3 linked regions of the Mus musculus genome follow. Each later gene encodes a partner of the first gene's protein in a complex. Links are inferred from orthologs where the notes say so. Each region holds a gene or a part of one and is shown in the gene's direction. Other genes may lie near its edges. The genes, in order: Smc5, Nsmce2 and Eid3.

What was found.
Region 2: Smc5 (region 1) and Nsmce2 share a complex: the UniProt entries of both Homo sapiens proteins name them as parts of the SMC5-SMC6 complex. The link is inferred for Mus musculus from reciprocal best matches to the Homo sapiens genes SMC5 and NSMCE2.
Region 3: Smc5 (region 1) and Eid3 share a complex: the UniProt entries of both Homo sapiens proteins name them as parts of the SMC5-SMC6 complex. The link is inferred for Mus musculus from reciprocal best matches to the Homo sapiens genes SMC5 and EID3.

What each region holds. Positions count from the first base shown.
Region 1 is NC_000085.6:23,267,318-23,270,967, reverse strand, and holds part of Smc5 (structural maintenance of chromosomes protein 5), read left to right. Parts: intron 1-2,099; coding exon 2,100-2,241; intron 2,242-3,650. UniProt on the Homo sapiens protein: Core component of the SMC5-SMC6 complex, a complex involved in repair of DNA double-strand breaks by homologous recombination.
Region 2 is NC_000081.6:59,372,963-59,377,142, forward strand, and holds the start of Nsmce2 (E3 SUMO-protein ligase NSE2), read left to right. Parts: upstream 1-1,235; 5' UTR 1,236-1,393; intron 1,394-4,180. UniProt on the Homo sapiens protein: E3 SUMO-protein ligase component of the SMC5-SMC6 complex, a complex involved in DNA double-strand break repair by homologous recombination. Is not be required for the stability of the complex.
Region 3 is NC_000076.6:82,865,072-82,868,432, forward strand, and holds Eid3 (EP300-interacting inhibitor of differentiation 3), read left to right. Parts: upstream 1-1,554; 5' UTR 1,555-1,635; coding exon 1,636-2,763; 3' UTR 2,764-2,859; downstream 2,860-3,361. UniProt on the Homo sapiens protein: Tissue-specific component of the SMC5-SMC6 complex, a complex involved in repair of DNA double-strand breaks by homologous recombination.

The sequences.
Region 1 (3,650 bases):
GGGGGGCTAGCTAAGCTTAGAGAATTCAGATGGACTAGAGATAGGACAGGAGGTTGCTGTGAGCAAATTAAGTCAGATAGGTTGAGAGTAGAGGGAGAGTTATAAGCTAAAGGAAGCACAGATTAGTCAGGAAACTAGAAGAAATATATAATAGAATTTAGAGTTCTGAGTAGAGATAGAAAAAGGAGATAGGAAAAAGTTGAAACTAGGGCTGAGTTACAAAGCCTTTTTTTTTTTTTTTTTTTTTTTGGTTTTCCGAGACAGGGTTTCTCTGTATAGCCCTGGCTGTCCTGGAGCTCACTTTGTAGACCAGGCTGGCCTGGAACTCAGAAATCCGCCTGCCTCTGCCTCCCGAGTGCTGGGACTAAAGGCGTGCGCCACCACGCCCGGCTACAAAGCCTTTTAAGGTGTGTGTGTGTACAGGTGTACACACACATGCATGCACACACATATATAAAACCAGGAGTGGACATCATATGGCTTGGGGCTCCAGTTACAAGTGGTTGTTAGCTGTACTATGTTGGTTCTGGGAACCAAACTTGAAGCCTCTGGAAGAGGATAAAGCTCTCATCAGTGGACTCATCTCTCCAGCACCACCTCTTTTTTTAACAAGTGATACTAGATTTCCATGTGTATCCATGTAGTTCTTTGTCACATGCATATTTTTGTTGCCACCTGGCTTTTTAACGTTTTAAATGTTAAAGTTGGTATGCTTTGTTAAATTATTTATATATTTAGCATATTAGTAGCACTCTGGCATTTATACTTAGAGATTAGTTAGGTATACCTAAGCACTAAAAACCTAGAGAAGGGATATTTATGGATTCTAATTAAGGATTTTGAAAGGCAAGCTAGAGAAATGTCTAGGTTATAGCTTACTTCATATCTTGCCAAAGCTGCCTTGATAAGTAATGAGAATTAAATACAGATTAAAAATAAGTAATAAAGACAGACATCTTGCTCCGTTAGTCCTTGTCCTTATGAGGCAGAGGTGGGCGGATCTCTGCATCCAAGGCCAGCCTGGTCTACAGAGTAAGTTTCCAGGATAGCCAGGGCTACACAGAAACCTTGTCTCGAAAAACATAAATAAGTAAATAAAAAAACTAAAATTAATCTTAAAAAATATGTAGAATTAAAAAAATCACTTAAATTAAGAGCTCACAGAAGCAGCAGATTTAGAAGCAGATATATAAAACTTATAGGGCCTGAATATAAATTATTTAATTCCTGTAGCTATGGACTAACTGTGCAGGGAGGATGCCATGGTGTGTACAAGGGTTACAGCTCTCTCTGCTTATGCATCCTTGCCTTCTCCTAGAGAAACGGGGATTATCAGAACTAGTCTGTCGTGGATTCTTGTCAAGGCCCTTTTTGAAAAAAAATTTTAATTGATGATAAAATGAAGCTATTGATTTAATGATTATTTTGTCATTTGAATAATTGTTAGATTGCTTTAAATATTAAAATATGAGAAGTAGCTACTGTTTTAATTCAAGAAAAATAGTAAATGTAAGACATTAGGAAAGAAGCCATGACTTCTTGTACCAATTTGTTTTAAAATTGTTTTACAAAAATAGAGGTAAAAATAAGTGCAATAGCTTTGATATAGTCTCCCAAAAGAAGCTAAATGGTTTCAAACTTGGGTTGTCGCTTGACAGAATCTCTCACTATGTAGCCCTGACTGGCCCCAAACTCACAGGTTTATTTTAACCAGGTTTTTAAAGCCCTGCCTCCTGAATGCTAGAATTAAAGCCTTGTGCCACCATGCTGAGCTCCTGTGGTCTTATTTTACATCTGCATTGTTACTTTTCCATTGTAAGAGTTTTCCCTCTAGAAGTTGATTATTTCAAGTTTACAGGGTTGAGTATAGAGTTAGGTGATAAAGCACCTACCTAGCATAGGAAAGACCCTGGCATGGCTCTTCAGTCCTCGTGCTCCTAAATATATGAATAACCTTACATTCATAATGGTAGCTGGCTTTTAAATGAATTATAAAAGGGTTGTGGACACTGATAATGCAAAGTAACAAGAAGATTCATTTACAAAGAAAAGGGTTTTCTCTTACTTCTGCTTAATGATATTGCTCCTTTACAATTCAGAACATATGACATCTGTGAAGTGTCTCCTGGGCCCCATCTGAACATGATCATTGGAGCCAATGGAACAGGGAAGTCAAGCATCGTGTGTGCCATTTGCCTCGGACTCGCAGGCAAACCTGCTTTCATGGGACGTGCAGATAAGGTCAGTTAACAGAGTTTCCTCTTTGCTTTTTGGAATTTCAAGACAGGGTTTCTCTTTGAAGCGGCTCTGACTGTGACTGCCCTGGAACTACATCTGTAGACCAGGCTGGTCTCGAGCTTAGAGATCTGCCTGCCTCTGCCTCCCGAATGCTGGGATTAAAGTTATGTACCACCATGCCTGGTTTATTTAAATTACATAATTTTAAAGAAAATTCAGAACCATTTGTTTCTAGAAACAAGTTAATTTCTGTATTTTAGGTTCTTACGTATACCAAATGAGCTTTCTTTTACCTAAAACTTCTAGACGGGCACTGATAGTCTCGGGAGAAAGTTCTGGTTACTTCTAATATTGCTCTAAAACAAAGAACTGATAACAGCAATCACAGACAGAGAAAGTTTCTTCACTAAAAAAGAATTTTCAAATAATCCTGATGCCTTAATAGGGAAATCTGTCAGGGTTGTTAGATACCTGGTTAGATGAAACTTGGTTGAATGTCTGTCCATTAACAGTAAACAAAATGATGTAGTAAAAAGTACTGCCTTTTGTTGTCGTTGTTGTTGTTGTTGTTGTTTGGGGGGTGGGTTGGTTTTTTAAAGAGCTTGTGTGTCTGTGGAGACTGGAAAAGGGTGTCCTATCCATAGCTGGAGCTAGAGTTACAGTTGTGAGCCATCCATTCATTGTGGGTGCTGGGAACCAGATTTTGCTACTCTGCAGTAGTGCAAAGTATGAGGGAAAGTGAGATAGTTCAGTGGGTAAAAGTGCTTGCTAGCAAGCAGGCAACTGAGTTCCATCCCTGAAGCCCACTGGTTGGGAGGAGACAGCTGATACACACACGGGACATGACATATGTTCTGTTGCAGATAAATATAATTTTAAAAGCTTAAATAAAAAGTATTTTGGTACAGCTTAAAGTGAACTGCTGAGAGCACTGCAGAATTAGAGCTGTATATAAGCATTGTAATATAATGCTACAGAATTGAACCAGTATACCCTAAAATTAAATAAATATTTTTTAAAAGCAAGCTATACCAGAGATATTTGTGGGCTAGAAAAGATGCTTTGCTCTGTTGATAAGTTAGCCTTGTGACCTTTAACAGTCGTCCGGACATCAAACTTTGATTTAGATGATAAAGAGGTTGAAGTAGTTAATTTGCAAAGACTAGCTTGGATTTTTCTATATCCTTTGTCAAGTCATGAGTTCAGTCCCTCCTCATTGGTCTCTTGGGTTGTAGTCTCTAATTCTGTACAATTAGAATGGGTTGTGCTGTAGTAGTTTTTATCGGCCATGCAGTTTTAATTTTAAAGAAACCACATTTCCTTTTGGACTGGTAGGAATCTTACAGGAGGCCCTGGAGTGCAGTGGTTCCTAAATACAGATTGCTGGCCTTCTGTAGCTACAGTATAATATT
Region 2 (4,180 bases), on another chromosome or scaffold:
AAAACCTCAGATCCCTAAAGAAAGCAGTCTCAAATCCATAACAGAGGCTGTCCCAGAAAAGTTCTGGAATAAGCTGGATCACCCCAATGTGACTCATGAATTTTTAAAATTATATTTATTTTGTGTCCATTGGTGTTTTGCCTGCATGGATGTCTGAGGGTGTTGGATCCCCTGGATCTGGAGTTATAGATAGTTGAGAGTCACCACATGGGTACTTAGAATTGAACCCGGGGCCTCAGGAAAAACAAACAGTCTTAGCCACTGGGCCCATCTCTCAAGTCCTGATTCATTAATTCTTAACATCTAAGACAACTTTCCTTCCTGACCTTTTAATACATGTTGTGGTGACCCCAACCATAAAATCATTTTCATTGATACTTAGTAACTATAATTTTGCTACTGTTAAGAATCATAATGTAAACGTTTATGGAAACAGGTTTGCTAAAGGGGTCATGAAACCCACAAGTGAGAACAGCAGACCTAAGGAAAGAGTCCCTGGCTGTGGTTAGAGATAATAAAACTCCTTCACTATCCCTCATCTATATAGAAATCAAGAGTCCAACTTTTCTTTTCTTTTTTTATGAGTCCAACTTTTAAATTTCCTATCATAGAAGAATCAGGACCCAGTAGAACTACCTGCCCCCAATACAAGGACTACAGCACCATGTCTCAGGTGAGGGAGACTAGGGTATAGAGGAACGACTTGCACAAACTCACAGTGAGCGACAGGACTTTTATTCCCCCCCCCACCCCCCCCCCCACCCCCCCGCGCGCTCTCGCCCATCATCACTCCAGTGACTACTTGATTTTCTGGAGAGTAAGTGCAAGATCAGCCACATTAGCAAGGCACCGCTCCGAGAAACTTGCAAGCTCAGCTATGGGCCAAGTAGCTGAGCATCACCCCAAAAGCTTCAAAGAAGCATGCAAGAGCGATTTCCATGAAGGCGTGGGTGAACATCAGGCGTGCAACCCCAACCCTGCAAGCCCTAGGTTTTCCCGTTGGCTCCGGGGACAGTACCGGACGTGGCCCACGGGGGAAGGAATGGACCTCGAACCCGCAGGCCCGCCTCCGACTCACCTGTCAGCCGTCCGACGCTGGCCGCGTGGACTGGGCGCCCCGGTCCCCGTCTCCCACCCCAGGGATCCCCCTAGAGTCCCGGGCCGCAGAGCGTCAGCTGCCGGGACCCGGGTTTCTGTCCTGGAGTCCCTAGCCCGTCACGTGACCAAGGGGCGGCGGCCCGGGCCCGGGCATCATGTGATCGCTCGCGGGCGCCAAGTGATGACGCAGAGCGCGCGCGGGTCGTTTCAGCCACAGAAGTGGGCTGAGGAAAGGAGTCGGGGTCTGGGCGTGCGACGTTCGGCTAGATATCACCGAGCTAGGTGGGACAGCCAGGTAAGATCCAGGAGGAACCGTGATAGGGGTCTAGCCGGCGTTGTCGCCTCCCTCTGTGCTCTGGGGACCTGGGCCTGAGCCTCTTCACCCGCAGCAACTAGACGGAGGCGGGTTATGCTCACATATGATCACAGGTTATGTGATCAAAACAAAACAAACTGTTTAGAACTGACTTTTGAAACTGAGGCATGAACAGGTAGCTCAGATGGACTCAAGGCCACAGGTGCCATTTCACTTCTGCAGGTGAAGGGATGTGGTAGCCTCGGTGTGAAAAAAGAGGGGGGAAGCGGGGCGGGAGGCAACCTTCTTGGGCACGGGCATGTTGGTGGTGACCCGGAAATGGTAGTAGTTTTTATTATTACTTTGGTAACTTAACGGATTTAGTCCTGCTCATTTCATTTTTGTGAGGCGACGTTTTATATCTTCTAATGCATGTTCCAGTTTAAGGAGATCCCAGCATGAAGGAATGGTAGAAGTCGGCAATTAGCCGTATTAAGTTATATAGTAGAGATGTGTGTTAGGAACTGAGAAGGCGTGTGGAAGAGGAGGAGCCGTGGGCGAGGGAAGGTTTCAGAGAGAAGGGTGTATGCATGCTGAAAACGGAGACACTTCAACTCTTGTCGTATGAGATCACCTTGGATTTAAAGGCGGTCGAACTTTTGGTTTGCTCTATGCCTACTGTAATGCTGTGCAGAAACGTGTTTTCCTATTTAAAACTGGCTTAACTTGACAGCAACTCTTTCATGAATATAAGGGAAGCAAAATAGTGTGCTGAGCCCAATAACTTGGTGAGACTTCAGGAAGTGCTTAACTTTGTTGTAGATTGTCTTGGAGGCTATAGGTACTGGTAACAAAAAGATCGGTGTTATTGGAAAGAGGATCCAAGAAGGGGTTGGTGTAAATCAGTGTTTCTTAACTAATGTGATGATTACGCTTTGTCTTCAGATGATTCCTTGTGGTGAGAGACTGTACTGTACTTGCTAGAATTCTATCAATTCCATAGATGCTGGTCTGTGACACCCCCCAACCCCCCTCCAGTGCCACAGTCAAAAATGCCCCCACGTGATGTTAGAAGTTCCCTGGGGGAGGTGTTAAACCTCCAAACCCTAGGTTAAACCAATCCCCAAGGAATAGTGTTAGAATGTTCAGATGTCAATAAATGAAATACTATATCTATGTAGTTTCAAAAGCATCAGAAACTGATGTCGTAGAGGCTGAGAATTCCCGAGGCCAACTTACCATCAGATTCAGTGTCTGGTGAAGGCATGCTTTCTGGCTTGTAAATGGCATGCACTTGCTGTTTTCTTGGGTGGTAGAAAAGCAAGAGAGCCCTTGGAGCACCCGTTATAAGGGACTAATAATGTTCTGGAGGGTGTAGCTAGTCACCTCGCCAAAGGCCTTATCTTCTAAAACCACCAGTTTGGACATTAGGATTTCAGTATGTAAAGTGGGGATGGGGACCCAAACATTTAGACCTTAGCAGACAGATGAGACTGGAGGAGGCGGGGAAGTGAAGAGTATGTGTTGGGGAAGGTATGGGGAGGACTAGCAGTTGTGGATTGGGGCTCTAGACAGCTCTTGGAAGAGATGGAAAGAGCTAAGAGCCCAAAGGAGTGCAAACGGAAATATTGTTCCCTGATGTCTTAGTCGTGGTTTCTATTCCTGCACAAACATCATGACCAAGAAACAAGTTGGGGAGGTTTATTTGGCTTACACTTCCATACTGCTGTTCATCACCAAGGAAGTCAGGACTGGAACTCAAGCAGGTCAGGAAGCAGGAGCTGATGCAGAGGCCATGGAGGGATGTTCCTTACTGGCTGGCTTCCCCTGGCTTTCTCACCCTGCTCTCTTATAGAACCAAGACTTCCAGCCCAGAGATGGTCCCACCCACAAGAGGCCTTTCCCCCTTGATCACTAATTGAGAAAATGCCTTACTGTTGGATCCCATGGAGGCATTTCCTCAACTGAAGCTCCTTTCTTTGTGATAACTCCAGCTGTGTCAAGTTGACAAAAAACTAGCCAGTACACCTGAGGAAGGCATACAGATTGCAGTAGTGGCCTTGAGAGCAGGTCCCGTGAAGTGGGAGAGGTGGGAGCCTGGCAGACTCCCAGGCCAGGACTGGAGGACAGGACTTTGAAACAAATGGAGGCACGCCTATGGGAGAGTTTTGCTGCCAGGATGAAGGCAGAAGCATGGGAAGTCATGGAAGAGGAAGGTGGGGGAGATGCTTTTCTTTAAGATTAGAGAAAGATGTCCTTGGTTTGCTATGGAGAGTGGTGTGGTGTGGGCGAGGAGAAAGCTGCTGATTGAGGAGAGCAGGAGAGCAGGGAGGAATACAGAGAGAAGGAAAGGAGATCTGATGTGGAATGGAGGTGGTCTCAGTGGACGTGGTTAGTTCATTCAACCTGAAAAGAAAGGAGAACATAGGAACCGAGGCTGCTGGGCGGGGAGGGATGCCCTTCCGTGGTGGTTTATGCTTCCTCAGTGAAATAGCAATCAAGGTCTTTTTACTTTTTACTTTTTTTTTTTTTTCCAAAGACAGGATTTCTCTGTGTAGTCCTGGCTGTCCTGGAACTCACTCTGTAGACTAGGCTAGCCTCGAACTCAGAAATCTGCCTGCCTCTGCCTCCCGAGTGCTGGGATTAAAGGCGTGCGCCACCACGCCTGGCCTCAATCAAGGTCTTTAGCTCTGGTCTTTAGTGCTAATGGATGAGGAGATGTCAGGCGTCTGTAGTATCAGCTGTCACGGAGTATTTCTATGTTAGGTCTGGAGGGTGGGTCATGCC
Region 3 (3,361 bases), on another chromosome or scaffold:
AAAAGAAAAAAAAAGGAGTCGGACAGTGGGCAGTGGTGGTGCACACCTTTAATCCCAGCACTTGGGAGGCAGAGGCAGGTGAATTTCTGCTTTGGAGGCCAGCCTGGTCTACAGAGTGAGTTCCAGGACAGCCAGGACTACACAAGAAACCCTATCTCGAAAAACCAAAAAAAAAAAAAAAAAAAGAAAAAAGATCAGTAATAGTTTTTAAGATAGAGTGGAATACGCAGGAGACCGATTTTGCAAATGAGGAAACTCAAGTATATGGAAATTACAGAAGCATTTTTTTTTTTCATTTAAAGATGTGTACATTTAAATGTGGATATGTGCGTGTTGAGTACAGAGGCCTGTATGTACATCCTCAACCTAAAAATATTTTTCTTTTCCTAAAACCTAAAACAATGAAAAAAATCATTGCTTTGTATATAAAAGAACATAGTAAGTATGTACTCGGTAGTTAAAACCACTGATTATATAATTTTTATTCTATATGTTATAATTCCCATCTTATAAATGAGGGACAGTGGTGGCTTGCAGATTTAGCACCCGTCTAAGTTAATATAAGTAGATAAAGACTGGGACACAGGCTTTTCTTCCAGCCCATTTTTAGATTGGATTCCTTGAGGTGGAGTTAAAGTTGTGAGCCTGTAAGTGCTCTTAACATCTAAACCTTGTCTCCAGCCCCTTCAGCCCATTTTAAAAAATTAAAAATTAGTATTGTGATATATGTATGATGTATGTTTAGGCATGAGTACCCTGGTCTGTATGTCAAGTTTAAAAGACAGCATATGTGTAGACATGAGTACCATGGTCCATGTATGGAATTCAGAGGACAAGTTTGCGGAGTTGATTCTTTCACTCACGTTGAGTGGTTCGTCTTTTTGAAGGTTTATTTTTAAAAGTATGTGCATGCACACATGATTGCCAGTGGAGGCTAGAAGGAAGTGTTGGAACTGGAGTTACAGGCAGTGGCTGTGAGCTACCCCATGGGGTGCTGAACTCTGTCACTGACAGAGTCCCGTGCCCCCCCCCCCCCCCCAAGCTTTCTGTGGTGAGAGTTGGGTATGATGCGCTTGTTGAACTTAGAAACAAAACACTCCTCACATTGTTAAATCGCTGTGCACTGATAACTCCAGCCACTTAATTGCGCCATGGGTCACTGGTGAGCTGGTGTGTGGTTCCCAAAGCATATTATTCACCCAGTAGGTGATAACACAGATGGTGCGAGATGATACTAAAAATCTTCTTAGTTTGCTCATCTTATAGGATTCAGGTTAACCTCCTCTGTAGTGTATAAAAGCATTTAGCCTTTGGCAGGCTTCCCTTGCAAAATCCTGCCTGCCCACTGTTCTTCCACCCTTGAGTGGAGACACTCCTAAGAGTGTAAGGGATGGTGGGGGTGGGGGGCAAGAAGCATCCTTCATGCTGTGAATTAGCATGTACTTCCCTCTAAGCAGAAAAAGAACAACGGGAGCCTGGGCTGGAGGTGTGGTCTCTGTGAGCTGGGGGGCGGGGTTGCTTGCGCATGGGCAGGAGGCTCTGTTCCAACGGCTTACCTTTGCCATCTCGCGTCGCTACGGTTGGTAGGTAGTATGGTAGTAGCCCTGGGAGAGCTGTTACCTGCGCACCACCACCATGTCTAAAGAAAAATGTTCCCTTACTGGAGGCAAAGAGAAAAGAGGGGAGCTGGTCCGGAGTCTGGCATGGCAGCACCTGGTGAAACAGGAGGAGGAAGAGGCAGTGAAGAAGGAAGAAAAGGAGGAAGGGGAAGATGAGGAGGAGGAAGGCTCAGACAGTAGCTCCGATGACCCGAACCCCGAGCCCCCCTGCATGCACCCAGACCTCCTGGAGCTGGTGGTGGATCGAGAGAAGTGCCGCAAAATCCGCAGGCAGTACCGGCAGCTCATCTACACCGTGCAGCAGAACCGCGAGGACATTGTGAACACGGCCAGCGACACGCTGAGTGAGGCCCTGGAGGAAGCCAACGTGCTGTTTGACGGAGTGAGCAGAACCAGAGAGGCAGCCCTTGATGCCCAGTTCCTGGTTTTGGCCTCTGATCTGGGTAAAGAGAAGGCGAAGCAGCTAAACACCGATATGAACTTTTTTAATCCCATTGCCTTCTGCGATTTGCTGCTGTTGTTTGTGGGCTTCAATTGGGTAGAAGAGGAGTGTAAGGAATTTAGCGACTGCGATGATAGCATAGTTCTTTCCTTTTGGGGCATGTTGCACGAGGAAGCAACCTCCTGGATGCTGCAAGCCGAAACGTTCCACTTCATTTTTGGGTCATTTAAGGCAGAACGTTCTGCACGAAAGCCCCGGCTTGGATGTCACAAAAGAGCTTGCAAAATGGAAGGAAGTGGAGATATGCCTACAAAGTTGAGGAGGCTGGATGTGCATGCTAATCAGGAGACGACAGAAAAAGAAGTTGAGAGAATCTTGGGATTGCTGCAAACCTACTTTCAAAAGTACCCCGATACTCCAGTGTCATACTTTGAGTTTGTGATTGATCCAAACTCATTCTCTCGCACTGTGGAGAATATCTTCTATGTGTCTTTTATTATTAGGGATGGCTTTGCAAGAATAAGGCTTGACCAAGACAGGCTGCCAATTCTAGAGCCAACTAATGTGAGCCAGGTGGATGATGAAAGTGATTCCTATTCGTACTGCAGGAAACAAGGCGTTATATCTTTGAGTTTACAGGACTGGAAAAATATTGTCTCCACTTTTGAAATTTCAGAGGCTATGATCAAAAACTCATATTAAAGAGTTTTATTCATAGTATATCTTGAACTAACATCGAAAAATGGAATCTAAACAGAAGCACAAACTCTAGTAAACTATTTTCAAGAACAAATGAAATTGTCTACTGTGCAGTGTATTTTACTTGATAATCTAATAAGGTTGTAATCTTAAAAGTTCACTCTCATGCTTATGGGAAAGTTTTTTTGAAATTCACATGACACTCTCAGTAAGCTCCCGAGTTTCTTAGAAAGTATTAATTAGCCAACTTGCTAAACACAAAAACCAGGACTCACTGGGATACTGAATTGCTTTTTCTGACGCTGCAAAACTAAGGGCAAGGGGGCTTTTCACCAGGTCGGGGCAAGAGTGAGAACAAGACAAGAAAAGTCAGTAGTGTTCAGACTCTCAAGTCCAGGTGACGGGCTTCCTTTCAAAAAGTGGATCTCTGTATTCTGAACTTTGTTTTTGATAAATGAATTTAATAAAAGTGTGTGTGTGTACTGTAAGACTGAAGCCACTAAGTCTTGAAAGGCAGGTCCAAGTTAGACAATAGGGAAGGCATCCTGGCTTGGTTTTGAGACAGGGTCTCCTCATGGAACCCTGGCTGGCCTGGAACTCA